4 linked regions of the Struthio camelus genome follow. The protein of the gene in region 1 purifies or fractionates together with the protein of each later gene. This does not show direct contact. Links are inferred from orthologs where the notes say so. Each region holds a gene or a part of one and is shown in the gene's direction. Other genes may lie near its edges.

Region 1 (7,650 bases):
CCCCCGGGTCGCGGGGGGGGGAAACGCGGCTCCGACAGTGTCTTAATGCCAAGCAGCCCGTGGGTCACCCCAGCTCCAGCCCTCGCGCTGCTCCTGGCAGCCTCGTCCCCTACTCTTCTCACCGTACCCTCCCCGGTCAGCCTCTCGGCCTGGTCCCACCGCAGAAGGGCGGCACGTCCCCTCCTGCATGCACACGCCAGCCTCAGGAGCGCCGGGAACCGGGGAGCAGCCGGCTGTGGCCATACTCCAGCCTGCAAGAGCCGGCAGGCCCTGGTGGGGAGTTCCCTTGCATTCTGTTCTAAAAAGCCTGTGCTGGAGCCAGCAGTGGCTGCTCCCACCACCTCCCCCCCCCCCCCCCAACCAGTGGAGTCCTAATACACTCCTACACTTGGCACTTTAACCCCTTGAAAGCCATTCCTTCGAATAACAATAATACTGCAACGAGCTGTGTAAGAACACAGTCCCTGTCGCCTCCCCCTCTGCCGCCAGAGACCCTCCCTGCTCCTGTGCTATCCAAAGCATTTACTGCCTTTGACTTAGCATATGCTGTACTAGGTAGTAGGGCATAGTCCATAGTGCTCAATAACGTGTGCCCCTCTGTACATAACCTCGGAGTGATGTGAACAGTTTGATTCCAAAAAAAAAAAAAATCCACCAACCCACAAAAATGAAATAAACAGACTCTAGGGACTTGGCCAGTACCCCTCCTGTAATGTTCATTGTATATTTTTTGATGTACTATAACTGTTGGGGAAAAAAAAGGAAAATATTTTGATAATCAAATCTCATCGCTTTATTGTGTTACTCAGTAAATAAAAGGAACAAGTATAAACAAGCCAGGGCTTTCTCGTCATCTTTGCCTAGATCCAGACTAGCCAAAAGGAACGTGTGCGGGAAACCGTTCCCCTTGTCTTGTGGTTCTGAGAGGAGAGCCAGCACCGTGACAGACGCGTGGTTTGAGCTCCCACAGCCCTAAGCGTCGGATTGTTGTGGGCTAAGCACAGTTCCAGTGTCTCCCAGGCTAGGACCGAGGCTGCACTTAGCAAGAGCGGAGCTGCAGCGTGGTGGATGTAGGCACCATGAGTTGTGGGGCCTGACCCTGCCCTCAGCGACAGCACCTCGCCCTGCTCTGCGCCATGCAGGTGGGGCAGGACGTACATCTTGCAGACGACTTGACCAAGGCCTGAACGCTTCCGTACATAAAGGAGCAGAGGACGCTGCTGGGAAGGGGTAATATACTGGGCCAAAGCTACAGCGCCGCAGAGCCAGCCGGGGTAGTACGAGGGGGCGCTGCTCTGAGAGCAGCCACACCACACGGGATGCGCGGCCAGCAGAGAGACTCTTCTCACACGGTACCAGCATGATACAAAAACAGAGCAGCTCGCCAGCCAGGGAACTAGTTTCCTCTGGCCTGGCAGCGCTCAGCCGTGGAGCTGATCCCAACGTGACAGCTAGCCCCATGCTGTGCCTCCCTCGAGCAGCATGCATCCCCCAGGTCTGCCAGCCTGCGCCTGGGCAGGAGACGAGGCCTGCGAGGAGAGGAGCGTCACTCGGTGGTGAATCCTGGCTTCCCTGCAGTACCTCAAACGTCTGCAGGAGGGGGGCAGTGATAAGAGCAGTCCCTGTCCCAGCCCAGGCAGATGGGTCACCTCTCTCATCCTCAAAGACTGTCCCCAGCCCTGGGAAGCCCGTTCCTCCTGCCACCATGCTTCCCGCTGGCTCCGTGATGCCAAACAGGCTCAGCAGGAGGTGAATGCAGGGAAAAGAGGGAGGTGAGGGAGAGGAGGTGGCAATGAAGAGGAAGGGAAGGACAAGGCTCAGCCATCCATGGAGCCACTGCCCTTGTTCTTGCGACTCAGGGGAAAGGCAGACTTGCTTTGTGGCTGCGTCATCTTACTGGCCAGGTAGATGAACGGCTCAATCAGCGTGCGCCGGTCAGCCACGGACACCTCCCACAGCTTCACCTTCTCGCCCTTGGCCCAGTGCTGGGCGGCGTCGTGGTCCACTCGACGCTGCTCCTGCAGGTCACACTTGTTACCCAAAACCACAATGGTGACCTGTTCAAAAAATAAAGGTGAGAAGAATCCCTGAAGGTAACAAACAGTCGACCGGTACTGCCTGGCTCCGCCTTGATACCCTCAGTGCCAGGCCCAGGCCTGCTGCTAAATTCCCCTCTATGCTAAGGCCTTTAAAAAGACATGTTTCCAAGTGCTCCTTTCCGGCAGCTTCCCCATCATGTTCAGGCTGTGTATCTCAGACCAGCCCCAAAGCGGAAGGGCCTGTTGAGCTCGTGCATGCTCAGCACGCTGGTGGCCTGCAGAAGAGTCCAGTCCAGAAGGGCAGGAAGAAGAGAGCTCTCAAGTCAACAGCCCTGGAAACTGAAGGCCCCGTGTGAAATAACCAAAGCAGCAGACACGCAAGCCCTGTCCCCCTTCGCAAGAGAGGTGTGAACCTTCTTCCATGCAGAGCCTTTCTGCTCGATGGCTGTGGAATGATCATTGTGACAGAGCAAATACTCTCCCCGAAAGCATCCCAGGATGGTACCAATTACAGTTGAGGGTCTTACGGAACAGGACCTTGTCACCATCCTGTGACAAGCCAGAGGTGAGGAGAGAGTCTCTGGAAGAGAACTGGTGAACAAGGGGAGCAGACCCTGCTCTGCAGCCCCATTCCCTTGGGGAGATCGTGGTTACTCACCTCTTTCTTGTCTTTGGACTTGTCAATCTCCTTCTTGAGGAGCTCCACCCGCTTGAAGGATTCCTTGCTGTCGGTGCTATAGACGAGCACGTAGCCATCAGTGCAGGAGAAGCAATGCTTGGGAAGCTCCAGGCCGTCCCGCAGGCCCCGCGTGTCGTAAAAGCGCACCTGCTCGCGCACCCCGCGGTCTGTCTCGATGGAGCCCACGTAAATGTCCTCCTGGGTCTCGATCATCTCAGAACCTGCAAGCGAGGTGGGCTGGGGTGAGACAGGGAAGGCAGCCACGGCGCCGTCCCCACCGCTGTCCTGCTGGGCGGCCACCTCTCCTCCTCCCCTGCTGCCTGCATGTTTGGGGGGGGGGGTTTCTGGCCCGACGGTGCCAGGCCCTGCCCGCCCCCGCGCAGGCGCAGCGCAGGGCTGTCTCACAGCCGTCTCCTCCGCGTGGGCTTCGCAGAGCAACCGGGAACGCCGGCAGGCCCCTTCCAGGCTCCCCCACCAGCCTGTACGCACCGACAACATGGTTGCCGTAGAGCAGCTGCTCCAGGATAGACGTCTTCCCGACGGAGGCCTGTCCGCACACAACCACCTTGCAGCTCTTCCCCATGCCGGCTCAGGGCGCCCTGCAGAGGGCCAGGGCTGGCGGGACCCCCCCCTGCCGAAACACGGCGGTCAGAGGGGCACGGCGGGGGCGCACAGCCCCGCACGGGGCACGAAGAGGGCGTGTGGCCCCGTGGGGGGGCACCCGGCCCCGTGGGGGGGATGGAGAGGGCACCCGGCCCCAGCGGGGGGCACGTGGCTGCGGCAGGGGACACGGAGGGGGCACACGGCCCTGTGGGGGGAAAAGGGGGACACACGGTCCCGTGGGGGGCATAGAGCGGGTACACAGCCCCAATTGGGGGGGGGCATAGAGGGGACACATGGCCCTACCGGGGGGGACACAGAGGGGGCACCCAGCCCCACTGGGGGGGGCATGGGGGGGCATCTGGCATCTGGCCCCACCGGGGGGGCACACGGCTCCGTGGGGGGCACGGGAGGGGCACGTGACCCCACTGGGGGGGCAGAGAGGGGGCACCCGGCTCCACCGGGGGGGCACGGCAGGGACACATGGCCCTGGGGGGGGCAAGGGGGGGCATCCAGCCCCACTGGGGGGACACATGGCCACGGCGGGGGACACAGAAGGGGCACACGGCCCTGTGGGGGGGGGTGGAGAGGGCACCCGGCCCCACGGGGGGGCACGGCGGGGATACACAGCCCCAACGGGGGGGCACGAAGGGGGTACTCGGTCCCGTGGGGGGGGGGACACGGAGGGGGCACACAGCTCCGTGGGGGGGGGATGGAGAGGGAACCCAACCCACGGGGGGGCACGAAGGGGACACACAGCCCCGTGGGGGGCACAGAGGGGGGCACCCGGCCCCACGCGGGGGCACGGCGGGGACACATAGCCCCGTGGGGGGCACCCGGCCCCACGGAGGGAGGGGGGGGACGAGGACACGAGGACCCACGGGGGCACGCGCGGGCCCCTACGGGGCGTTTCCGCCCCCCCCGAGAGGGGATGCCGGGCCCGGGGTGGGGACACGGCCGAGCCCGCGGCCAGCCGGGGGGAGCCGGCGGAGGCGCCGCGCCGGGCAGCACCGGGCGGCGGCGGCAGCACCGGCGGGGCCTCACCTGCGCGGCGGCGGCGGCGGCGGAAGGGGCGCGGCGGACCCGGCGCGGCCGCGGCGCCCTCTGGAGGCCGCGGCGGCGGCTGCGCCCCCCCCCCGGGCCGGGCCATGAGCCGCCCCGCTGCCCGCGGCTGACCCGGCCGGGCCCCGCGCCGCCCCCCCCGCCCCGCCGCCGCCCCGCCGCCGCGGCGGGAGGACCCCAGGGCGGCGCTGCCCCGACCCGGCCCGGGCCGCGAGCGGCGCCCCTCTTGTGTCGCCGTCGTTGTCAGCGGAAGCCCCCGCCCCTTCCGGCTCCGCGCCCGCCTCCCGCCCGCTCCCCCCGCCCGCCCCCCGCGCCCGGCCTGGCGGTAAGATGGCGGCGGCGGCCGAGTGCGATGTGATCATGGCGGCGCCCGAGGGGCCCGGCGCGTTGGAGAGCGACGAGGAGGCGCGCAGGTAGCACCGCTCCCGGCGCCGCGCGGGCAGGCCGCGGGCCGTCGTCCTTCCCGCCGGGGCGGCGACCGGGCCCCGCTCCCGGGGCCGGGGGGTCGCCGGCTGGGGGAGGCGGCCGCGGGCCCGGCGGGGGGAGCCGGGAGGCAGCTCGGCAGGGTCGGGCCGGGGGTCTGGGGTCGGGGGCAGCTCTGCGAGAGGGAGGGTGGCGCTGGGGGCCCTCGGGGCCGCCCGGGGGGCTGCGGGGGGGCCTCGGGGCCGCCCGGCGGGCTTGGGGGGCTGGGGAGGGGCCGCCCGGCCGCCTTGGGGGGCTGGGGGGGGCCTCGGGGCCGCCCGGCCGCCTTGGGGTAGGGTATTGGGGGATCTTGGGGGTAGCGCTGCAAGATTTAGGGTCTGGGGGAGCCTTGGGGCAGCGTAGCAAGATTTGGGGCAGGATCTGAGGAAGCCTTGGGGCCGCCCGGCCGGTTTGGGGTCAGGGTATGGGGCAGCCCTACAGGGGGGCAGGGGGGAGCCGTGGGGCAGCCCTGTCGGAGAGAAGACAAGGTATGGGAGAGCCTGGCTGGGGCTGGGGGCCTGGGGCAGCCCCGGGGGCGGTAGGACGGGGGCCGGCTGCGCGCCCCTGTGGGGAGCGGGGTGGCAGGACGGAGAGGCTGGGGACCTCGGCGGGAGGGAGCTGCGGGGCCTTCGGCGGCGCTCCCGTCACTGGGAGCCTGCTGGGGGCTGGACTGGGCCTGGGAGGTCTCTGCCGGCTCCGGGAGCGCTGCCGGTGCCAGGCATATCGCTGTGGGCGTAACTGGTGCTCTGCAGTGGGCAGCACCCACCGGGCAAGAGCAGGGTGGGATTCGGTGTGCGCTTGGGTGCTAAGGAGCTCACGGCATGAGAGGTGTTAAGCAGAGCAGTGATGTTTCACTGGAGAGGGGTTTGCTACAGCTCGGAGCAGATCGTAAGGGCAAAGGGCGCAGCGGCACCTTTAGCCATGAATCTCTTGGTTCCACAGAGCTGGCTGCTCAGACCCAGGGCTCTGCAGGGATGGTCTGTAGTCCAGCCCAGGGCCATGATATAGCACATACGGTGAAGGGCTGTGCTTCCTGCAGGTGGTGTTTCAGTTCAGGATGCTTTGGCTGCGCATCTCACGCTAATCCTTATGGCCTCTATAGGGTATATACCAGGTTTAGAGTAAGGATTTTTCTCTGTCTGTGTGTTGTGGAGTAGACTGTCTTCAGTCGATCAGATTTTGAATGTCCCTGAAATACATACGCTATTTTTACTGTCTGGAAGCCATGCTGGCTGGTTTCTGAAGAAAGCTCTCTCCTATCGTGGAGGATTAGGAGGCAAGGATTAAACTGGTGGGGAAGGGCAGTTCTTCGTAGCTTCAAACTCCCAGGTTTGAGTGTTCTTCATTTCTCCTATATCTGTTTTCTGAGCAGTATATCATGCCAAATTGCCTCATCTGTGACGGGCTGTTACGACTGAAAATCTTTTAATGACATTTGGAGCAAGTTTTACTCTGCCTTGCCTTTCTGGGGAAAAATGTCAGTGGCAGGCCTATATCGGGGTAGGGTCATATTCTGAAAATGGTGATGTAGTTAAAAGAGCTCCTCCAAGCAGCTATTAAAGTTCCTCTAACTGGTTAATTTCTGAAGTGATCTGGTACAACTTGCTGGGGGAATAGACAGTGATTTGGGGGCTGGGAAGGGTGAGGATTCCAACTCTTCTTCTAGCTACAGATTTTCTTTTCAAGAGCAAGTGATCCTGTTCCCACGTGCAGCTGAGTGTTGCAGCCTCTGCAGGGAATGAAATGGGGAAGTCCAGTGTCTAGGAAACTCTGCTCATTCTGCAGCATTTAAAACTGGCAGTTTGCTGTCTCCTGGGGAATTGGGAGGAGAGAACTATTTCTGTAAAAGGCATGGCAATTGCTCCAGAGAATTATTCGGTTGATAGAAATATAAGGAGAAGACAGAACTGAAAGTGTCCTCTGAGGAATGCTATTTTCAAAGTAATATTGGTGGCCTGAGGTGTTTTGTGCTGCTTATTTATGTTAGAGTTAGAAGGCTTAGGGAGCAGAACTGGAAATATGCTGACTTCCTGGTGAAGTCATACTAAAGAGTTAGTTAAATTAGATGCTTCTGAAGAAGCGCTTGGATGCTGTGCGTAGACTACCGACAAATTGCATGGCCTATAAAGTTGGGAAAGCCCTGTTTGTGTGTAAATCATTTCTTCCTCCAGGCTATTTAAGTGGGGTGTTTGAAGTGTTAAAAAGTATCCAAGTGTAAAAATCATGCTAAAGGCACCGTCATCTTATTATAGTGCCCTCTAACATTAGCATTCTGTCCTCCTTCCCAAGTTTCATTGCAGAAGTGATGAGCACTGGAAGTCAGTCACAAATAGGACGGTCTTCAGAGGAAAGGTTGAACAGGTGCAGACACAGAAGAATTCTTGGGCAGGATTTGGTCCTTGCCCTGCTCTGAGGGGAAGCCTCAACTATGAAGACCAGAGACAGCCTAGATGATCTTGGTTTTCTTGATGTGATAAGGCCAGTACCACAGTTCATGGTTGTTAACTTTCAGTCCCTCCATTCTTTTGTAGATGCTTTCACAGTATTTATTTTCTGTTGTTGAGATACTCACTTTTTTATCTCATTAGAAGAGAAGTGTTTGTGTCATCTGATGGAGACTTATTCCAGGTAGGAAGTGATTATTTTACTTGCAGTTATTCTCTTTTTGGTTGCTTAGAAAGCATAGACCTTAAACACCAGTGCCTGTCAGCCAGAGCAGATTTTCTTGAGGTCAGGAACATCTTGTGCTTTTCTCTGTTTTGGCCCATCTTGGCTAAAGTAAATTGCTTAACTTCTGTGGCTCCGTTG
Region 2 (7,629 bases), on another chromosome or scaffold:
ATTATTTATGCATGAAAGATTGTGTAACAGGCGACACCAAACAAAAATTTGTTGTTACAATGCATATTTCTATTCATAAAATGGAAACTTTAAACTGATACTTACAATGCAGATTTCCATTTTTTTTATGCTTCATTTTTGTAAAAGTTTACCTAGAGATTTGAACAAATCTTGCCATATAAATAGCACCACCACAAAGTTAAGTGTTACAGTGTTGTATTTATATTTACTGTTTAGGAAATTATCATGCAGGAATGGAATCATCAAATCTTTATATTTGATAAAGTGCTACAATAATATAGAATGAGCCTCTAGACATCAACCAGAACATGCTGTTTTGATGACTTTCAGCTGAGTGAAACTACTGTTTCCATTCATATGTATGAAACCAGTCATGTCTATTCAACGACAGTGTTTAGAAAAAATGGACAGCACGCATGGGTTTTCCTCTGAGGTGAATGAACATTGTCTGTGTATTCAATGAATGGTAAGCAAACATCCACATTTCTGTTTGTCCTGTATGTATTCTTCTGGATACAGAACTCATATGTCATGTAACAGTATATGGTTTTTTTTTCTTTTTGGATTGTTTACCCTTTCCATTGAGAACACACAAGGAGTGGTACCTACCAGCAGACAGGAGGTGCATTAATGCTATTTTTGAGAGGGACCCTATCTGCTCAGGAAGACTACCAAAGGATTGTTTGGTAGTAAATGTGCAAAAATATGTAACTTTACTTACAAGCAATATCTCAGTACTTACAAGTAACTGCACCTATGGTGGACAAAATATCTATTAAAACTCCTTTCTTCATAATTTCTCCGTCCTTAATTCCATTCAATTTTCCTTCGTTTTTAAAAATCTGTTCAGGTTTTACTAAAACAACGTATTTTGACACAGACTTGGCTTGCTGGTGTTCTTTTCCAGATGAAATCACTTTACTTTGGGAGCAATTTTATGATCCACTATGTGATATATTTCTATTTGTTGGGAAAGCATGTCTGTAAAGAGTAGCAGAAATTGAATTTACTCAAATTTATTCTATAACCAGGTGATTTTCAAAAATCATGGAGTTCTTTAAATATTTTATGTAGGTAAACATTTTGGTTAGTAGGAAATTATTTAACCATACATAACCACATACGTTTTCTGATACATTCTGTTGTTGTGATAAACTGGTCTTTGTTATTTGCTGTGCAGAAGTCCTTATGACTTCTGAAAAGTGAAGGAGAAATGGATATGTCGTGGTGGCTAGGTTGTGTAATTGTTACAGAGGACATTCCACACCATCGATGTGCATTATTGCTCTTATATTTACATACGCTGAGAACATGAGCTGCCACTGATTAGCTAATACTTTTGCTCAAACCTCAGTTATTCAGCTACAGTCTGTATATTCAAAAGCATAGTAAGTTAAGTTCTTTTAAAGCTTTACTCAAAAAACCACAAGTGAAAGTTTGTTACCTAACAGAACGGCATCAGAAAGCTCTATTTACAGTTCCCCGTCTTGCTTTCTTGCACTGCTGCTTCCATATGATATGACAGGATTTGAACAGCCAACACTGCACAAAAGAAGTAAAAAAATAAAAGAAATATAAATTAGAAAGCCATCATTATCTCAGACTGCAGTGCTAATATGACAAGGCAGTTGGAAATCAGATGAGCAATGAACTTGCAGTTGTCATGCTAAGAACACAGGAGCCATCCACATGGACTCTAAAGGCCTTCAACAATTAGCTTAGCGATTATTGTGTTTGCAAGAGTTTATATTTGTTAGTTTTGCTCCAGTCTGTTAAGATTATCATTCCTACTCAAAGTATTTGGCACTTCCTATAGTCTCCCTTCTTCCTAGCAGTTTGTCTCCCTGTCTGAAGCCAAATATATTATAAAATAAGATTTCAGTACTTTTAGCTAAAACTCCCCCCTCTATTTCAAACACTACCTTATGCAGAAAATTAATTACGTAACAAGGAACTTTTAAGGCCCTATGGAAGATAAATTGTATCAACATATTATTTATGGTTAAAAAAAGCTGAGATGTGAATTTGGCACAGGAAAGGCAGGAAATAATAGCACAAAAGCACATGTTCAATAAAATTAATGCCCTGTTGTTCAGCCTTAGTGGTATCACAGGAAACACTTCTGCAGGAGTCAGTGCAAGCTCTTCTGCTAATTGAAAGAAATGAATCTTACAACCTAAGTGTCTACGTGTGACAGTGACATTGCTGGTAAGTCACTACCTAGAATATACGTTGAAGACAATCTGTAGAGCTTTAGCTGCAGAGACACAAAAACATACGGCTCCTCAGGGGCAGGCAGTTCCTTGTGCAAGAAGAAAAATAAAGAGCTTTGTGCTGATGACGTTGTTTTTGTTGTTTTTCAGCTCTTCGTTCTGACTTGAAAGCTTAGTAACTCTTCATAATGGCCAGTCTCTTCCTGTTGCATCATTCCCATTTACTGGGACAAAAGACTGCTCAATTGGCAATAATCACCAACAATTAAGACTTTTTTTAGTAACCAACTGGTATTACCCAGTGGTGCGCTGAATTCTGCAGTCACACAGAAGCTGTATGGGTTGGTAGCTGGTATTCGCAGTTCCAGTGTACCCCATCCGTTCCCAACTTAACGAGCTGTTAGAGAGGTTTTTGTTGATGCTGGGTTTTTTGTATAGCTTTATTTAAAATCCTTTAAAGCACGCCTCATTCTCTGATAGTCTTCAATTATTTCAATACCATCCACTAGGGAAAAATCTATCATTGCAACTGTGTTAGATATCACAACGTATTGAGGCTATAGGTTCAGGGACAGATTTTTGGTCCTTTAAATCAGAAGGAACAAAAATGGCACTAACTCCACATAAAGCCAATTTATCCACATTTGTGCACAGAACAGGCTGGCAAAAGGGCTAGCATGCAACATGTGCAGTAGTGAGTACGAGTAAAGCATTTGACAGCACTTGTGCAAGAACTGCCATAGACTGAGAGAGGGAAAAGGCTTCCAGCTCTGCACTGACCCTTTAAATTTTAGAGATCCGGCAGCAGGTGCCCACAGGAGGCTGTGGGAAGCGGACGCTTTCCACTAATGACCCTTGCCAGTATTTGCATGCTTCTCCAGCATTCAGCGAAAGGACTTTCCTGGCCAAAGCTGTATCTAGACCATCCTGTTTATCAGCCATGGTAGGCCTGAACTTTGGTCTTAGTGATGTAAGGGTCTGTCTTATGCATTGAATCTTTGATGCTGAAAAACACTTGCAGAAAAGGCAGGCATAGATATGTAGACTAATGTGGTACTGCTGTGGCATTTTTCTATTAGAACATGAAACAAGCTGCTAAAAAACGGAGTCTTGTGTTGCTTGGGTGTTCTGGACACTTTATGCTTTGTCATATATTTAACAAACTGAAAAATGTGTTTGATCAATCAGCATGTGGATGAGGGTGGTCTTGGGTATGTGTCTAACGCACAAGTAAATTTATGGGACACCCAAGCAGAGCTCTTTGGATTTGCCTCAACTACAGCAAGAGGGAGCTTGCCAGTATGAAACGGAGGATGTAACGCAACCAGAGGGGTGACAGCCACTAACGGACCTTTCCTTTAGGCATTTACTGAAATCTTTTCCATGACTAGCTGTGGTTTCATAACATCTCCTAGCACTAAGCTCCACGATTTAACTGTATGTTGTTTAAAGCATATTTCTCTGACACTGTTAAGAGTCTTCTGATCGTGTTCATGTGGTCTTGATGTATTTTTATATATTCTGGAGGCCGGCATCCTATTGCTAATACTAATTTGCCTTTTTTTTGGAACACATTTTTAGAGTGAATGTGTTATTTTGAGCTTTAAAGCACTGTTCTTCCATGAGTTCAAAATGACTTTATGTGAACAGCCCCCCTGAAACTTGAAACCCATTGCAGCATCAGCATTAATACCCGCAGATTCATCGAACAGAGCAGCACGCCATCATCCATTTTCTCTGCAGTGCTATTAACTCCCTAGAGTTGTCTTCTTGTGCCCGTCCGTTTCCTCTCTGAGTTTCCATGTTACTTGAATGACTGCGTTAACAGAAGTTATAGTTGTCATACTAGCTGTAAGAACTAGCCAGGTTCAAATTAATTCCAACCAAAAAGGGAAGCTAATAGATGTTCATCCTAGAGGCGGTAATAAGAACATATATATTTTCTAAATAAACTGGTGAATATGAAAGAGGACACTACCTGCTTAAAGCTTCAAAGTTGTCTCTACAAGCCCTTAGGCTTTATCTCTAATGCCAACGCGGCTTTGGACAGGCATCACCTGACTGACCGGTATCGGGTCGTGGGGCCTTTCACTGTCAGTGTCCCGTAAGCCTCCAGTTAAAAATAAATACATTTTCCGAGGGGCTGGTGAGAAGCGGAGATGCGGGCTCCAGCAGGAGGCACGGTTTCCTCGGTTTTGCCGGGGCTGGCGATCGCCGCCCTCGCTAGGAACAAGATGGCGGGCGGCGGGCGCCACCCCCGCGCCACACGGCCAACGGTCGCCGGGCCGCGGCGCGCTCCCGCCGCGGCGCGGGGGGGCGGGGCCGCCGGGGCGCGGCACCCGCGGGGCGGCAGCGCGCCCCGCCCCCCGTCACCTGACTGCCGGGGCCGGGGCCGGGGACGCGCCCGCCGCCGCCGCCGCCCCCGCGCGCCTGCCCCACCGCCTCCGCCATGGTGCTGGAGTCGGTGGTGGCGGATCTGCTGAACCGCTTCCTGGGCGACTATGTGGAGAACCTCAACAAGTCCCAGCTCAAGCTGGGCATATGGGGGGGTAAGGAGCCCCCCACCCCCCCCTCCCCCGCCTGCCTGTGCTGAGGGCCGGCGAGGCGAGGCCGCTGCCACCGGCTGGGCGGCTGCTGGCGCCGCGGCGGGGAGCGGGTCTCGTCGGCGGCGGGTCCGCGGAGGGGGCTGCTCCCGCCCCCGAGGGGCGGCGGGCCGTCGGGGCTGCGCTCCTCCCGCCGCCGCCGGCGAGGGGCGAGCGGGTGAGGGGCGGGCGGCGGGGCGGGGCGCGGCCCCCCGCGGGGGGCGGGCGGCCGTTGCGCCGCCTCGAGGCCGGGGGCCGCCCCTGGGGGAGCCGGGCGCCGGCGGCTGCGGGGCGGCCGGGCCTTGGCGACCCTTGGGGGAATTTTGCTCCTTCTTCCCCAAAATGAGGGGCGGGGCGGAGGGGCGCCAGGCGCAGGTGACTTCCCCGAAGTCGTGTGTGGTTAACGGAGCGGCTCTCCTGCAGTAGCGTGGCATGGCTCTTCCCAGTCAACGCGTTCAACGTTTAAGTTTGTTGCTCTTCAGGCAAGCGAGAAATAGCTGAATCGCTGTCTAGGGAAATCTGGCTGTCTTAGATACATGAGCGATGAGATTTTCCTCATCTTCCTGATGTTGCCATGGTAGTAAAAATTCATGTTTTTAACATTTACAAGTTATTCAAAATACCAGTATTATGAGCAGAACATATCACTAAGGAGTCTTGTGTTAAAGCACCCGGAGGTATAGTTGGTGTGCGTTCTTCATCACGTATAATTCCCTGTGCCCACGTTCCCTTTGGAATTCTTGTTACGTTGCCTATTTCAGGAAAAGTTGCTGCGTTTAGGAAAACAACCATGCAAGTGCCTTACATCTTTGTGGTTTTATGGTTCATGCTGTTCTTCCCGCTATGTAAAATCAACACAAGTGAGAGATAGCACCATCCTAGTCTACACTACCTTGAGAGAACCGCGATTATCATTCATAACACAAAGTGAATAATGAGGATGATAGTAAGAAAGGTATTATTAGGCATAGTTCATGATGTAGAAACATGCAGAAGTATAAATTAGTGATATTTCCATAATCTCTCCCACTGTTGGATTTTGCCTCAATAATGAGTGTTAGTGATTCATAAATTAGCTATTTATTATGTTACTCTTTAACATTTTATGCTATCCAGTAACTGGACATTTGATTTTTGATTCTACCCTTGTGTTCTTGGGATGGTTGTATCTGCGTTCCTTTCTCCAACTTGCGTGATACTATAGTTTAAATCACTTAATCTGTACTTCTGTTTTTCTTCCATATAGGTAATGTGGCACTGGACAATTTACAGATAAAGGAGAATGCATTAGTAAGTATTTTACAATTTTTAAATTTTTTTTTTTTTGGATCCAAGGACTAAGTCATAAGGTAAAATACTATTTACTGTAGGTCCTTGCTACACAGTGTGCCTTGCTTACAAGAACTAGTAAAAAAGTCCTTAGTTAACTTCCTCTGATTTTATTCAGGACATTGGAATAGAGGAAGAAAAAAAAGCTGTGGGTTAAATCATAAATGTGCTTCTGTCTTAAATATGTGACTTAAAAATTAGCCATAGATTTTGAAGTAAATTTTCAGTTGTTACTGATGTGCGCACGCGTACGTAGCCTGTCCTAGTATTTGAGGCTTGAAATAATAAAACTTTAAGTAAGATATTTTGATATCTCTCTGTTACCATGCCAGTCTTTCTGTAACACGTAGAGGGTTTAATTTCTGCTGTGACTGCTACTGTATTATCATATTTCCATTACCACTTGCAGGTCCATGCAGAAGACGCTTGTGTGTCTTTGAACACCTTATTAGGTCATATGGTTGTGCATAAGCCTACATGTTCTTTGCAACTTTGTTTGAATAAATGGGTTTCTGAGGCCTGCCTCCCTCCTGCAAATGGATTGATATAACTAAAGGTTTTTGAAAGACTGCTTTTCTCAGGTGCTGATGTGGGCATTAAAGGAGAAAAGGTTCCTCCTTCGAGGCTGGTTGAGGCTTATGTTTCTGACTTCCTGCATAAGTTGATGATTGTTTAAAACTGGCAAAGAAAACATTTGTAAGAAAGATGTGTACTCTGTGAACATTCAATGCGCCATCCTGTTCCTTTTAGAATAGGAGTGATGGAATGGGGGAAGGACAAGAAGCAGCCTGCATTAAGTACACAAATTCTTATCTGACAAAGTATTTGTTGATTTTTTTCTTTTTTATATTCTTTAATGGAGTTAATGAATGGCTGTACTGCTGAGACAATCTTACTGCAATCTTTACTGTGCTTCTGCTTTCACTAAAGAGATTTTGCACTTTCTCGTGAATAGAAAATATGTTGGATTTTTGCTTGACCTAATAATTGATTTTCTTCGTTGTTCTGGTTCACTTGTTTCACCCATCATTGATAACTTTGTTCTGCTTCGTTCTGTTTCACAACTCTGTACAAATACCTTTGTAATCTGGTAGTTATAAAAGGAAGGAAGAAGGAAAGTGGTATCTACTTTGTCTAGCTATCTATCCTTCTTGTTGTGAGAGCAGGATTGATTATAATTCTGCCAGTTCTGACTTCACTTATTTCAAGTACTGACTTATGCGACTAGCTTTTCAACTCTGGAACTGTAAATAAGGAGAGTTTTCAACTGCTTTATACCTGTGTGGTGGCTTTCAAAGCAAAAGTAAATAAAGGAAGGTTGACGTTGAATATTTTTCAAATGTAAAAAAAGCAAAGCCCTTAAGAAAAGGAAGAGAGGAATAAATGGCAGTTGCTTTTAGAATTGTATTTTGCTGCGTCCATTTTTCCCTTTAGAAGTAGTAAAAGACCATTTCATTAAAATGGAAATCTGTCAAATCTCTGTC
Region 3 (7,476 bases), on another chromosome or scaffold:
GGAAGCAGGACAGGGCCACCGTGAACATGGCCTCCAGCTGACACTGGGCAACAGTGAGAGGCTGTGACAGCTTCACTGCAAAGGCCCAAGTGCAGCACCCAACGACGCATGGTTCCAGCTGGAGACAAGGATCTCCCAGAACTGGAGGGGCCTGTCTGAGCCAGACCCAGCCTTGCCTGGAGGAGAAGGGCCCAAATCTGCTCCAGGCTGTGGAGCTGCGAAGAAGTGAAGGGGCTGGGACAGGAACACCAGGACTGCAGCGACCTCTGGGCTGAAACAGGCCCAGTCCCAGTAGAGACTCCACCAGCAAATGTGTGCCGAGGCAGTAGCGCACCCACACCGCACAGTGCAGAGAGAACCCACCAGGCAGGCGTGCATACCCCAGAGGTGTTTGTAGGTGAGAAGCGGCTTCGCACTAGCCGTGCCATTTCCATCAAGCTTGTGTCCCTCCGCTTCCTGGAGTCAGCCATGAAGCAGGGCAGAGAACGCCTTGGTCAGATGTGGTCATTTGGAGAAAAATAAACAATTGACACTTGCCATTTATGGAAGCTAGCAACTGTTTGTGCTTCAAGTATCTGATCTGTTGCTGTAGTTGGACAGACACCAAGCCGCTGATGCTCGGACAAAAGACCTGATTTACAGCTCCCAGTCTTGGTAGCTCAATTACTTGATTTTCAGAATAAAGTTAAAAAAGGAAGAGAAAACAGTAGCTCCTTCAAAGGTCTCCGAGGATAAAAGACAAATGTTTCATCTCTCCCAGGCAGCTGATGGGACAAAGAACTGAAGCTCTTGCTTCTTAAAACACCTTCCTGTTGTTCTGCATGACTGATACTACATGGGTCATGGTTGATGAGAGTGAGAGCAGGAAGACTGTAGAATAGCATAAAGTTAAGAGCAGTACTTGCTTATGCCCACCAGCCACAGATGAGGTTCCCTTTCTGAACCTCTACCATCTGGTGCAGAGGTCTGGTTTTGAGAGCTTCACGATAAGCCTGGAGTTTTATCTCATGTTTGTGGCATGTCCTCATTGTAAATGCTTGCCAGATGGAGCAATGCACAGAGGGAGGGAAGAGAACCCACGCACACTGTTCTCCGGTATGCAGGGGCAATTCAAACAATTAGCACAGGTCTTTTGACTAAACTTAGGTTCCTCTTTTCACGAGCTGCTGGTCAGGCCAACATATATGCTATTGTTCTTCTGCAAATTGACTTCTCATCAGATCAAAACAAAACCTAAGACTTATAGACACACCTTTCTACACGAGCTGTTTGAAATATTTTTAAATGCTTTTATTTACAGTGCTAGTTGAAAACAATATATATATTTATATCTATCATCCTCGTGATGTTTGTGCCATAGAAAATGCTGTGGCTGTATTGCCTTTAATTTACAAAAAAATGGTCACAAGAGAATCTGAAGGGAAAAATGGAAATCAAAGTTTGGTCCTCAATTAATTGTTTATCTCTTGATTTGTTTTAAAAAAGCCTCCAAATTAAAAAAAATATGCAGTTCAGATGAAATTCATATATAAAAACAACCTTTATCTTCTGAAAAAATTCACGAGGGCCAGCTTGCTGTCTGTCATGTAAACTTAAAAAAAAAAAAGGTTAAAATAAATTCTGTCTCTGTGTGTGGTTTAATAGAAACATTATTTGCTTGTAATATTCTTTCTCTTTGTCTCTCAGGGTTCAACGGGAAAGAAGATGAAAGGAGACCTAGGACTGGAAAATGCACCATGAGATCTGTGCCCACAGCCTCCTGGATCCAGGGAGGATATTTGAGACAGCAGGTCTTAGAAGCAGAAGCCGGTCATGTTAGTGAAAAGAGAGGACAAGTGAAACAGAATGAGAGGTGTTTGCCATGTGAAGAGTTTGGCATACGGGCCTGGTAAGGTTACTTACTGGGAGACAGGAAAAGATGAGATTCTTGAAGGGAAAGGATCATTTTTAAGTGGGGTACAGTTGAAAGGATGTGAGGGACTGGAGTAATTTCAGCTGGGGAATGTCATAGATGGGCTAGATCTTCAGGTGGGAAGGAAACTGCTGTCTTCCCTGTCCGAGAGCATTTCTAATCTTTCCTCATCTGAGACTGTGTGAAGCCAGAGGCTAATGGACAGTGCAAGCATGGGCTGGAATGGAGGAGGAGAGATGGACGGAACAGAAGAGATGGGAGGGGAGGACTCAAGCTGAAGATCCATTTTCTGTCTTCTGTCTCTTTGGATCCACTTCATCCTATTTAGGAGAAAGAGAAGGAAAAAAAGGTGTTACCATCAAACAGTCACCACACCAAGGCACATAATTTCTCCATGAGATTCTTACTGCTGCTCTTTCCTCCGTATGGAAATATTCGTTTGGCCTACCCTAAATCCACTCTTCTTTACAGCACCTTTGACTGCCTGACACTCAGCTGTTCTGCTGATGCTAATGGTTAAGACGTGCACAGCTCCATTTGTAGGGATACCTGCTGTGTTAGTTTCAGCAGATATATAAGCCCAGACTCACACCACCTCAGACAGACCCTGGGATCAACCCTTAAAAGTCCATCTGGCATCCAGCTTCTGGCATGAAGCACAGAAATCACTGCTCTTTGAAGGATCATCATCCAGCACAATCTAAAGCACCTTGACTGCTGGGGGGAAGAACCTGGATCAGTTCCACAAAGGGTCTGTGAGGTTCTGTTTTCCCCCTGCCACATCAGGTTTGTTGACCCAGTGAAGCAGCAATGAGACCTGAGGCTGATTTGAGATGCTCAGCAATAGCATCCACATGGATTTCATCAGCTCACAGCAGGTAGCCTAGTTCCTTCTCAGTGTCATTACTCCCAGACTATCACACACCTCTTCTTCCTCTGCGGATCGTTTTTCTGCATGTCCATCCTGCTCTTGCCCATTCTCATCTCCATCTAAGCACAAACAAGGGGAAATCACAAGTTAACTGAGGTAGCTTTTAGGCGAATCTAATCTCAGTCAGAAGGCTTGGAGAGGGAATTCGCCTCTATGATATTTCATATTCCCATAACCTGATTCCTCCCATTTCCCCCAAGCTGATCATTCCCACCTTCATCCTCATCACCACCTTCATCTTCATCCACATCCTCAGGATTCTCTTCCTCATCCTCTTCAGCTCCATTTTCCTCATCCTGAGTAAAACAAATTGGCCAGAGCAAAAATTGGCATCAGGCTAATATTCCCATGCTGTCTTTGCTGCAAGCACAAGTATAATCCCCACAGCTCCCGCTATGTCAGACTCCAGTGTTGGATGCGCATCAAGTAAGTGATCCCTGCACTGTTATTCAGACCCTGTCACTTCCACTATCCCAGCTGTCTCACACAGCTGAAACCCTCCTCCCAGCCTCCATCCCTTACAAAACCAACCCCTCCAATCCTTTCCCACCAGCCCTAGCTTCCTTGACTTCCACAAGTTTAAATCCCAACAAGCTGCTGAAATCCCTTCCCAACAATCAGAACATCTCTCTGGTTACCCATGTGTAACGCACCTGCTTCCAGATTCCTTCTGACCTTCAACAATCTGCATCTCCTCACTGTTACTCTCTCCATCTCCCTCAGCTTGTGCTCCTTACGCACCTCAGAGTGCTCTGAGTAGGTGTAAGACTCTGTTCCCAATGCCACCTCCCCCTAACTCCTACCAGCCCTTGTCTTCATTCTCCTCTCTGATCTTTCTTCCACTGGGCCACAGCGGCTACGCTGCCTGAATCCTTCAAGGCTCATCTTCCACATTTATCCCACAGCTCATTCTTCATTTGAGCCTTCTCCCTTATGAGCTCCACTGGCCTGCCCTCTCTTTTTGATTGATCCCCATTATTCCCTTCCTACTTACAACCTGAAGTTCCCAGACTAACCACCTTATAAAATCCTCCCAGACTCCTCTAAAGATATGCCCAACAGAAGGGCTACATGGGGCCTCACCTCTACTATCTCCTTCTTCTTTTCTTTGTGGACTGTTTTCTCCTCTAGTTTTTCCTTCTTTTCTTTCATTTCCTATACGCAAGATGAGAAAAATCATTCCAGTGGTCAGTGGCAGGAAATAAAAAAAGACTGGAATGCTCAGTTTTAAACAGGGGCCGTTTAGAAAGGAGATACAAAATAACGATGAGTAGAGAAAATGTAAATTAGGCATTAAATCTCCCCTCCCGGATCAGCAGAAGAGCAGACAGCGACATAGAAAAGCTGCAAATACACGCCAGTATTCGCATTTTATTCGGGAAAAAACCCGAGAAACTCTTAAGTTACACTAAAACAGGGAAGTTTTCCCCTCAAACGCAGGCTCTGGTGTGAGGCCGGAGGTGCCGAGCGCGCGGCGGAGGAACGAGCCGGCCCTCCTTCCAGCCCTACCCCCGCCGCCCGCTAGGGGCTCCCCAACGGCCGCTGCCCGCCGCGAGCCCAACGGCCGCCCGGCCCCGGCCCCGTCCCCGCCCCGCGCCCCGCCCCCGGCCGCAGCCCGCGGCCGCCCGGCGCCGGGGCTGCGCCGCAGCCCACCGGCCTGCCGCCTGGCCGCAAGGTGTTTTGGAGGGCTTACAGTGTCCTTTCTCCCCGCAGTCAGGGTGGCATAAAAGTTCGCTGCATTGGCTGCCGCACAACGGACGCGCACTCCGCCCCTCCGAATCGCACCTGGAGCTGCCGGTGTCCAGTGCGTGCAGTTAGGGGCCTCCGAGCCTTCTGGCACAGTAACTGCCCAGCCTCCGAAACCCTCAAGAGTTTGCAGTGGTTTCTAAGCTCTGCCGAAAGAGGTCAAGTTCTGGGGACACACTCAGAGGGTCCTAGTCTCCCAGCCTCATCGAAGCTCGGACTGCCAGAGCTGTCTATCGGTAGGTACGCGAAGGGCATGGCAGGCTGACCGGGCTGGGAGGGAAGAGGATAGAGACTGGACTGAAGGGCTCCCAAGCCATCCCTCCCACTCCAGGCGCTTGGCACCCCTCAGCTGGGACACTGAATGGGATGCCGAGGAGCCCTGCGGCAATGACCAAAGAAAGAAATCTCGCCTTAACTAGCACAGAAGCCCGAGGGGGTCTCCACAGCTCCCGTTTCTGCAGCGCAAAAAGCGTTTCTGGAGAAGACGAGGCAGAGGATCAGCCGTTGCCCTGACATTTATCCTATGCTCCTGTTGCCGCCAGGGATTTGAGAAGAATACTCTGTTATTCGGGCTGCTAAGTAGTAAAAAACCGCAAAGCCACATGGCACATGTTATTTAGGATCTTTGTCATTCATCCTTCCCACTCCTTTTCGGGAGGTGAGCGTCTGCCTAAGCTCGCAATGAGTGCAAGGAACTACAGCCAGTCTTTGATCCTTGCAACAGCGCAGCAGCTGGGCTTCCGGTGGCTTTTTAGTCTTCTACGATTTAGGGCTTTTCTTTGTCCAAATGCAGTAACAACGCAGGTCTGTCCGACGATCGTAAGTCACCGCCGTCTCATTTGTTCCCTGCATTCTCCCGGCCCAGCCCTGCCCCCACGCCTCCTGTCCGCGCTCTTCCCCGCTCAATTTCTCCGCTCAACTCCATTAACCTCTCCTAGTGGGTCTGCCAGAACCGCCGCGCGGGACGCAAAGACGCCTCCGAGGGGGGCAACTCCTAGCCCTGACGAGCGCCCCGGCGTCGCTGACGCCAGCGCGACGCGCGGGGGGCAGAGGGAGGGTCCGCCCGGCTGCTCTTTCGCCTACATTTGGGACCGCTCGCCTATGACTTCCCCCCCCCGCCCCCCCCCCCCCGCGACGCGGCCCGCAGGCGGCCGCCGAGCAGAGCGGAGCGGAACCGCGCCGCCCCCACGCCACGCACGGCCCCGCGCGCGGGCACTCGCGCCCCGCGCAGAGCCGCGCGCGCTCCCTGCTGGCCGGGCATCTCCGAGCGCGCGGGGCCGCGCGCCGCCTCCCTCCCCCCCGCCCCGCGGCGGCGGCGAGCGGGCGCGGAGCAGCCCGGTGAGCGGTCAGCGAGGTGAGGAGGGCAGGAAAAGGGCAGCGCCTTGGAGCCTGGCGGGGGCAGAGCGGCGGGCAGCGGGCGCGGAGGCGGCGAGGGGACCGTGTGCCGCAGATAAGTCGGGAGGATCGCGGTGCTCTGCCCGTCCCGGTGCCTGCGCGCGGGGCGCTTCCCGCGTCGGCGAGCGGGACGGGGGGAGGCGAGCGGGCTGGCGGGAGGGATGCCGAGGGTCTCACCTTGGCGCTCAGCTCCGCCGGCGCCTCCTCTACGCGTTTTTCCGACATCCTGGTACGGGAGCGAGAGGCGAAGGGAAGAGGCCAGTCGGAAACGTCCAGAGACCCCTGTGGAGAGTGAGCGGGGCCGAGAGCGAGGGGTCCAGGAGGGAGCGCAAAGTCCCGGCGATCCAAAGGCCAGAGGCTGCACCTCCCGCCCAGGGGGCCAAAGTACCAGGGTCTCCCGTGATGGGGGATACGCCGGAGAAGGGGATTTATACACCACTCGGTGACGAGGGAAGGAGGGACTTGGGGAAGGGAGGGGAGAGGGACTGGGAGGGAGGAGAGAGGGAGGAGAGAAGGGCTGCTGGAAAGAGCGGAATGCCGAGAACAATGTGCGCTCGGCGCTTGGCAAGCGCCCGGCAGCGGGCGGCAGCAGCGCGGTGGTCGGGGGCGGAGAGGGGCTTCAGACGGGAGCCGCTGCCCCGGGCAGCTCGCCTCTCTGCCCTCCCCCTTGCCCGGCGGAGCGGGGACGGCTCGGCAGCGTCCCGCGGGCGGTGGCGCGGGCCGGCTGCCGCACGAGCACCGAGGAGCCGCCGAAGAAGCAGCGGGGACCGAGCCGACGCCCGTCGGTGCGGGCACTGCGCGGCGGCCGCCCGGCCCGTGGAGGCCGCACGCCGGGTAGGGGCGTGAAGCGTGGGTGTCCTGCCCTCGTTTGGCCTCCGAACCGTTGACTCCCGCCCCCACCGCTCAGCACAGGGCTCCGGGCAGCCCTTTGCTGCTCATAGCCAGCACGAGCGGTGGCCGGGCCCTGCCGCTGGGAAAACTGAGCCCTCTGCCTTGGACCCGGTGTCTCTGCGGCACGGTGCGGGGTTGCCGTCGCACGGCTTAGCCGTGTCTCCGGCTAACGGAGGAGACGGGGCCCCCCAAGCGGCTCCCTGCGTGCTCATCCCCTACACGGCGGCCCACCGGCCGCCTCTGCGGGGTGGAGGAGGGCGAGGAGGAAGGGGGGCGCCCTGCCTCGAAACGCCTGCCAGTCCCGGCCTCGCCGGGGGTGGGGGGGGGGGGAAATTCCCGCCTCCTTCTGGCCGGACCTCGCCCGCGAGGAACCGGAGGGGGCCAGCGGGCGGCGGCCAGCCCGGGCCGTGCCCAGCAGGAGGTGCTGCGGCGCGGCGCGGGCCGGGCGGCGGCGTGTCGCAGCGGGGCTGTGTGGGAGGGCAGAGCTGGCGACGGTCTCGCTCATGCTTCCTCCCGCCTGGAATTTTCCACTCCAGCTGCCTGCCCTCCCTCTGGAATCGCTCCCAGCCGGCGGCTCCTCCCGCCGCCCCAACGGCCCTCC
Region 4 (7,240 bases), on another chromosome or scaffold:
GATGAGACTCTTAAAAGGTACATTCTGTAAATTCAATTAATTGAAGATGAAAATTTGCTATAATTTTATTTAATTCACGTGATTACTGATTACATCTGTAAAAGTCCAATGAAGCCGAAGGACAGACTGCCTCTGCTTTGAGCATGTTTTGCATCAAGCCCTTCAAGAATGACAGCATCACATACCTCTTTCCATTCATTGACACAGAAGATTCTGTAAGAGTCGTTTCCGTATTTTCCAATCCCGTGCAGTTCAATGGGGTACCTCCACTGCTTGGTCAGATACTCATCTAGAACATATAGTCACATACTTCACTACGTACAGACAAGCGGATCACAGAAAGCAAGTCTAGGCAAAATCCTGATTCTCTGTTATGGTCCCAAACCTGTTTTAGAACATTTTAAATGAAAAACACTACAAGTTTTAGCTGTTTCCTAGCCAAAGTAGGTGAAGAGTCCCCTTGGGTCCATCACAAAACATCTTTCAAACAAATCACTGTGGGTGAATTTTAAATAAATCTCTCCCCTCGGAATCCACAGAGGAATGCTTTTATTTTAAGTATGAAGTACAGAAAGTATATAGAAAAATTTAGGCAGGAATGGTCTTCTGGAGGTCATCTGATATGAACCAAAGCAGAGCCATCTTATCATAGTGTTGGAAAACACAAAACCAGTCTTGGAGATACCCGTTAACTTTTTCCACTCAAACAATTCTCCTCAACGAAGGTCTCTTGCAGAACTCATTATGTATGTTATTTTATTCTCAGTTAAGGCAATAGGACGGGCAGCTTTACACAGACAAGACCAACGTATCCCAAAGCTGCATAAAATAAGACAACACCAATATTTGCCAAACTGAAGGCCACAGAGCACTGTTTGAAAACAATGCTGTTTCTTTGCTAATATAATTTAGACCATTCAACAACCATACTCAGGAAAATCTACCTGAAAACTTGATTATAGTTTTTGCTCTGAGTTCATAGAGGCCGAGAGGTCTGAGCAACTCTGACATTTCTTTCCAGTCTGCAGTTCTCGTTATTTCAGGAGAAGGATATTTCTTAAGGAACTCCCAGAGCACAGGAATTGCCGCCTTACCTAGCCAAAGAAATCACTGTGAACAGAAGACTGTGCAGGTAATTCTCTTTTGTGGTTATCTGTGCATGTTTTTAGAAGTGAACTTTTGCTGACTTAGGATTTACTTTTTGGGTTTTTTTACATTAACACAAGCTGAAATGCATTTCATCTTTCATTAATGCCATAAAAAATTTGGCAGCTGTTCTGACCCTATGACAACAGCACCCCAAACACTTACCCAACACAAAATCGTATTACTCTGTTTACCTGAGGTCTTATTGAGAAATATAGTTGCAATGAGGAGTTTCCATGGATCATGGAAAAGAGTTTCTTGGACCAAGTTAAAAGGAGAACGTGGAGGAGTCCATTTTCTGAAGGCCTTCCTTCTAGGTGGGCTCGGAGCTGTACACAAAGGCAATATGGGAAAAGTTATTGGGCAGTAAAGGACGGATTAATCTATTTAAGAAAATAATTAGAAAAAGAAAGAACTTTTGGAGCAGATTCATCTTTGTGGGAGCACTGTATGTGGATGGAGCACTAGCAATTCACTCGCTCTCCTTTACAACACTGCAAGGACTGTGTGTCCATGGCATAGTCTACAGTAAGAGCGAAGGCTGCCTGTATCTGTGGCTCTGTGTTTCAAGGGTACACATCCTTTCGGAGAAGAAGGGCCCTTCACAGCTAACTTCACCTTCTTCTGTAAGTACAGAGCTGTAGCCACAGAGTACAGGGTTTCCCCTTGACAGGAAAAACACCTCTGTGGTCTACAAAGAACCTTCCCAAAGCCCACTCAGTCCATCCTCTTATAGTTACTGAAAGAGCTACTGAGTCATTTTATATTAGGCATAATGGTTGTTTGCAAGATACAAACCACCAAGGTTTAAAATGGGACAAGATCAGCACTTGTGCACTAAGCCTAGCTCTCCAATGCCACAGAGCATGGCTATACTTTAACTAGTCTAAAACTGCACGAAATTTTCTGTAACATTACTTGATCTTAAGCCACCGTATTCCTCCCTGCATAAAACAGAATTTCTTTCCCTAAGGAATATTATACCTTCTTTACAGCATTTACTTGAAAAATACGGACTTGTTTTCCTCTTTTCCACCTGTGTTCGTGGAATAGATTCTTCTGTAAAGAAATAATACTTTAGCGTTATTTCTGTCACAATTAGAAAGAAAAAAAAACATAAAATATTTGGCTTTTAGGTTTCATATGCTATTTTCTCTTTATGTTGTGATGGGAATACAAGGCTTTCGAGTAGGTGTGTAGAATGTAAATGCACTTTGGATTCAGCCCAGTCCTTCAGTATTTCAGCTCTATGAAGTATCTTCTTAAGAGAAACCATTACTTTGCAACAGCCTGAGGAAACATGTTCAGCTACAGTCAAAGATTAAATGTTCTCCACAACCTACTGTCATATGAAACAAACTAAAACTAAGTTGTTTCATGTATCAAAAACTGACCAGTACAGCAGCATTAAAAGAGCAAATGCAAGGAAGGTAATGATCATTATTATATTATATCATAAAGCTGAAGAGACCAACAGCGTAAGTTCCAGTTGTGAATAAATCTACATTAAGTTAAATGCTGCAGGATAAAGAAATGAGAGATTCCCACAGGAGCACATACAGATCTCTTCATCTGGATGGATGAAGTATGTCCAAGCACAAAGCAGCTCCATCTGAAACAGAATACTTTTCTGCTAAAGTTCAGGAATACCGCTAGCAAAATGTTAGAATACTCTACTCAAAAACATATATGTACCTTGCAGCATTTTAACTTCTGTGAGGATTTTCTTGTCACAAGGCTGCAAAATGTTAACATCCGTTTCAGTGTTGGATTCAAAATCCTGGTTATCTAGATTCACTTGATCTGTCTCTTTCCCTATTTCCAGTTCATCAGTCTTCTCCTCAGACTTTGCAGAAGATGCTTCATTAAAACTTTTCTCTATGCACTCCAGCTCAGCTAGGCTCTTCAACTCCTTTTCCAAGGGAGCTGTGACTGATCCTAGCTGTATGTCTGACTGTGATCCAGAAATCAGTAATTCCTCTGTTAAAAGAGTTTTTCTTTTTCCTGCATCCACAGGGTCTGTGTTGTGGTCATCTCTCCCTTGACTGTTAGGGACACCTATGTCCTTCTTTCTGCAGAATTTCTTGTTCTGAATGCACTCAGTTTCTTGTTTGTTACATACTTTTCTCTGTCTTTTGGTTCGGGTATTATCTGCATTCTTCTTTTCTGAGCTCTTTCTAGTTTTCTTACTCTGAACACTTTTTCCAACTGCCCCCTTTTTTTTGGTTTTCAAACAGTCCTCTGGTTTTACTTCTTTCACGACCAAATCCTTACTACTGCAAGTGGTTGTAGCAGCAACATCTCCCAGCCGTTCATTTCCAGTTTGAACCTTATGAATTTTATCTTCTTCACCATTCTGTACACTAAGGTCCTGTGCTTGACTCTGACGATCCTCCTCCTGTAAACCAGCTCCCACAGCTTTTGAGCTGCATCTTTTGGCCCCTGAACGGGTGCTGCTCCGAGATGGCGCAGTAAAATCAAAATCTTCTGCTTTTAGAGTTGTCTCTCCAGTTTTACGAAAATAATTCACAAGCGCACCTTTTGATCTTAGCTTATGTCCTTCGGGACTGCAGTATTAAAGAAAAGTAAATGATGAGAGATGGCTTTTTCAGCCTCTTGCTCTTCGCTTCAACAACTACCTTGTTATAAAAACGAACCACCACCACCACCACCGCCCGCCCTACCTGACAAAACACACGTCGTACTTCCCCGCTGTTCTTCCCGACCGCCGCTGCGTCACCAGCCTCTCCCACCCGCGCGGCGCCCCGCCGCCGCCGCCGCCCGCGGCCCCGCTCGGGGGGCTCCGCTGGCGGCCGGGGCCGGGGCCGGGGCCGGGGCCCGCCGCCGCCGCCATCGCCGCCCCCTCCGCCTTCCCGCCGGCACCCGCGTGACGTCACCGCCTGGTGACATCACCAGCCCCGGCGACGTCCCGCCCGCCACCGGAGCCGGGGGAGGAGCTCGGGGAGCCCGCCCGCTGCCATGGCAACGCGCCCGCCGCCCGCTCCCCCCTTCCGGTGCCGCCATGACGCAGGCGCCTCCGGCCACGTGACGGCCCTCAGCCTCCCCCCCCCACACACACACGGCGCGCATGCGGCCACGCCCCCCGTGGGCGCCTGCGCAGTGCCGCCTCATCGCCCAGCGGCGCCCTGCGCATGCGCGTTGCCAGGGGCGCCCGCCGGTGGCGGTGCAAACGGGCGCCATGCGGGCCGCGCTCACCTGGCGCGACAAGGCCGAGCAGTGGTAAGAGCCCCGGCCCGTGCGGGGGCCGCCGCCGCCGGTTGTGTGCCCTCGGGCCTCTGCTCGGCAGTCCGGTGTACCCCGGAGCTGGCGGGGGGGGAGGGGGTTGTTGTGCGAAGTCTTTAAAGTTCCGTTGAAAATCGATGGAAGGGTGTTTTGGCTCTTCAGGTATTTAAAGGTCTGTCAGCTCACGTGGGTGGATTTGCTTTGTTTTTCTTTAGTATTTATGATCTTGCGTTCAAGCCGGACGGGACCCAGTTGATAATTGCTGCTGGCAACAGGCTGCTGGTAGGACACCTCTCTTTCCTCTTGCGGTTGCAGCCACGGGGCTGTGATTTTGACTTACGAATGTATGAACCTGCCAAAAATCCTCTAACTCCTCCTGCGCCAGCCCAACGTATGCATGTTTTCATATGCTCTAGCTGTAAAGTATTTCAAAGCTATTTGATGTTTCTTACCGTTTTTTTAGCTTCATTTCCAGAGGTAATGAGCTTTACGCTGCTTGTGTCATCTTGTCCTTCCTTACCTCGCCCAGAGGTTTTGAACGCGTTGACTCTTAGCTAAACTTCCCACAGTCGCCAAGGTATACAAATACTATGGTGTTGCCAGTTTCATGGAAATCCCTCTGAAAAGAGGAAAGAAGCCCCACTTAACGTCCCTGCTTTGAGAGAAGATTCAACTAGAGCTTTACCCAGCACCCCGTGCCTGCTTGCCTGCTGCTAACCCAGCTTGGGACCAAGGTTCTCGTATGGTGTCTTGCAAAGCTCTCACGTGGGGGTGGATGGATGTCACGCTTCCAGAGGTGTAATTTAGAGTCGCAGGAGCAGGCTTTATTAGTTTCACTGTTCACAGAAGAGTGTATGTAATGATAGTCCTTTCCAGTAATTTGTTAAGTTTAAAAATAATTCTCAAATAGGGAAAGAATTGGATGATGTAAAGCAAGCAGGTCAAACATGATGTCTCTTGTACGTGTAATTGACTAGTGCTCAGTATTCGTTCCTTCGGAGTGTTGAAGGAGAAGCATTACTTCAAGGAAGGGTCCTCTTACATTTTAAAATGTCTTCTCTTGCCCTGTCCTAACTAACTAATGACATGGATTGCATGCATAAAAGCAAGCACAAAAAAAGTGCATAATCTTGTTGGGTTTTTTTGGTAACTTTAGGCCCTTGTCCTGTGCAACTCATTGGAAGGCTGAGGTTTTATGTTCATTTTTGTTTTTATAGGTATATGATACTTCCGATGGGACCTTAATCCAGCCTTTGAAAGGACATAAGGACACTGTATACTGTGTGGCTTATGCTAAAGATGGTAAATATCAGTTCTGAGGTTTTGTTATTCTACTTTGTAGAGCACGATCTCTTCCCTTTGTTGTTGAAAATTGATAAGTAAAGTAATCAAGGTGGTTTCAGTGATCATGTTTTGAACATGTATGATCTTTTTATTATTGGGATTTTGAAATGCATTACAAATGCTACACTCAGAAGGAAGTACTACGTTTTCACGTCTATAATTTAAGGTTACCTGTTATGTTAATCCAAGAACTGTAGTCCCTACTTCCCTTCCCCTTCTACTTCAGCTGTAGTTAAATTGATACTTGTGGGGGTAGCATGAGGAGAAGGCTTACCCCAGAAGGCCCTCTTTCTAGCAGTCTTCCTGCCTCTGATTTTTTTTCACAAGTTCCTCTCTCCCAGAGCTTCTCAATTGTCTGATCCTTCATATGTTGCTGCGCTCACTACAGAGCTCACTTTGCTTCTAAATCTTTCGTTGTCTCTGACTCTCATTCTGTGCAGACTGTAAGGACTTCCTGTCAAATACTGTGCTTTCAAAAGGTGCTAACGTATTTACGTTATACTTGTGAAAATGCACCATTTTCCTCTTGGGACTGGTAAGGTAAGTCTTCAGCCTGTGACTGACAGCACTGGGCAGACTGGCTACTTGCATTGCCAGGTTTGGCGATGAGCTCTCTGAGGGAATAACAAAGTAAGGCCGTTCACACAGACTGAGAAGCACAGCCACGTGACGACACTTGCAATGTTAGGCCCTTTATTACTTGAGCCTTGTGAAGTTCAAGAACTTCTTGCTCTCTCTTTGGTTGGATATTTGAAATGAAAGTGATTCCTAAATGTGTGAGATTTAAATTATGTTTAATTCCTAGGCAAACGGTTTGCATCTGGTTCAGCGGATAAAAGTGTGATAATTTGGACTTCAAAGTTAGAAGGAATTCTGAAATACACGTAAGTGATTCCTTTCGATTCCGTGCCTGTCAAGTACAGACTTTGGCCATGAATGTCCGCTGTCAAGGAGTAAGCGATGTTAGAAGTGGAAGAAGATTAACTAGGGTTGGAGAAAAGGCTAGTAGGGAATAAGGAGAGGGAAGAGAAGAAGAGCAAAGTATCTGAAAAGTAGGGAAAGTAATTAAAGGCATGAAAGAGCACGGGAAGTCTAGATAAAGGTATGATGAATTTAGAGGGCTGGCAGAGAAGTGGGGAATGTCTGTATAGATTGAGAGGGAATGAAACAGTATGATTCTGATCTTGTGTAGTAAACCACATTAGTTTGGTCTTTGAACTACAATTATATTAAAGATGAGGACTGGAGCTTTCCCCTTGGCTTTGTTTTATATGTCGTCTCTCAAGCTATGTCATCAAAATCTGTTTCTGGCTATGTGTACAATTATTGCTGAAGTTAGGAGTATACACAATCATACTTATTTTAGAATTTGGCTATAAGCTGTAATCACATTTCACAACACTTCACAAACCACTGTCTACCTATATTTTTAGCTAATCTTGATGAAACACAGCAAATCCTCCATTTAAAGACCTTTTTAAAAATTTTATTATTGATTTAGTTTACA

What was found.
Region 2: the proteins of DNAJC7 (region 1) and VPS13C purify together in Homo sapiens (co-immunoprecipitation; 4 studies listed by BioGRID and IntAct, counting the BioPlex papers as one, with this or other methods). This does not show direct contact. The link is inferred for Struthio camelus from reciprocal best matches to the Homo sapiens genes DNAJC7 and VPS13C.
Region 3: the proteins of DNAJC7 (region 1) and MLF2 purify together in Homo sapiens (affinity purification with mass spectrometry; 3 studies listed by BioGRID and IntAct, with this or other methods). This does not show direct contact. The link is inferred for Struthio camelus from reciprocal best matches to the Homo sapiens genes DNAJC7 and MLF2.
Region 4: the proteins of DNAJC7 (region 1) and IFT122 purify together in Homo sapiens (co-immunoprecipitation; 3 studies listed by BioGRID and IntAct, counting the BioPlex papers as one, with this or other methods). This does not show direct contact. The link is inferred for Struthio camelus from reciprocal best matches to the Homo sapiens genes DNAJC7 and IFT122.

Annotation. Positions count from the first base shown.
Region 1 is NC_090966.1:7,448,744-7,456,393, reverse strand, and holds the start of DNAJC7 (dnaJ homolog subfamily C member 7), read left to right. Parts: upstream 1-4,636; 5' UTR 4,637-4,710; coding exon 4,711-4,793; intron 4,794-7,650. Other genes in the region: NKIRAS2 (NF-kappa-B inhibitor-interacting Ras-like protein 2), read right to left, coding at 1,818-2,057, 2,698-2,939, 3,208-3,301. UniProt on the Homo sapiens protein: Acts as a co-chaperone regulating the molecular chaperones HSP70 and HSP90 in folding of steroid receptors, such as the glucocorticoid receptor and the progesterone receptor.
Region 2 is NC_090953.1:20,608,638-20,616,266, reverse strand, and holds the start of VPS13C (intermembrane lipid transfer protein VPS13C), read left to right. Parts: upstream 1-4,615; 5' UTR 4,616-4,683; coding exon 4,684-4,783; intron 4,784-4,818; exon of another isoform or gene 4,819-4,941; intron 4,942-6,062; coding exon 6,063-6,106; intron 6,107-7,629. UniProt on the Homo sapiens protein: Mediates the transfer of lipids between membranes at organelle contact sites. Necessary for proper mitochondrial function and maintenance of mitochondrial transmembrane potential.
Region 3 is NC_090942.1:90,710,621-90,718,096, forward strand, and holds the start of MLF2 (myeloid leukemia factor 2), read left to right. Parts: upstream 1-4,465; 5' UTR 4,466-4,825; intron 4,826-5,803; exon of another isoform or gene 5,804-5,943; intron 5,944-6,161; coding exon of another isoform or gene 6,162-6,209; exon of another isoform or gene 6,210-6,777; intron 6,778-7,476. Other genes in the region: PTMS (parathymosin), read right to left, coding at 2,182-2,232, 2,838-2,902, 3,058-3,139, 3,927-3,998, 6,162-6,209.
Region 4 is NC_090955.1:806,633-813,872, reverse strand, and holds the start of IFT122 (intraflagellar transport protein 122 homolog), read left to right. Parts: upstream 1-4,225; 5' UTR 4,226-4,234; coding exon 4,235-4,386; intron 4,387-4,604; coding exon 4,605-4,671; intron 4,672-5,606; coding exon 5,607-5,691; intron 5,692-6,538; coding exon 6,539-6,617; intron 6,618-7,240. Other genes in the region: MBD4 (methyl-CpG-binding domain protein 4), read right to left, coding at 186-289, 945-1,094, 1,341-1,475, 2,131-2,205, 2,842-3,713, 3,831-4,000. UniProt on the Homo sapiens protein: As a component of the IFT complex A (IFT-A), a complex required for retrograde ciliary transport and entry into cilia of G protein-coupled receptors (GPCRs), it is required in ciliogenesis and ciliary protein trafficking.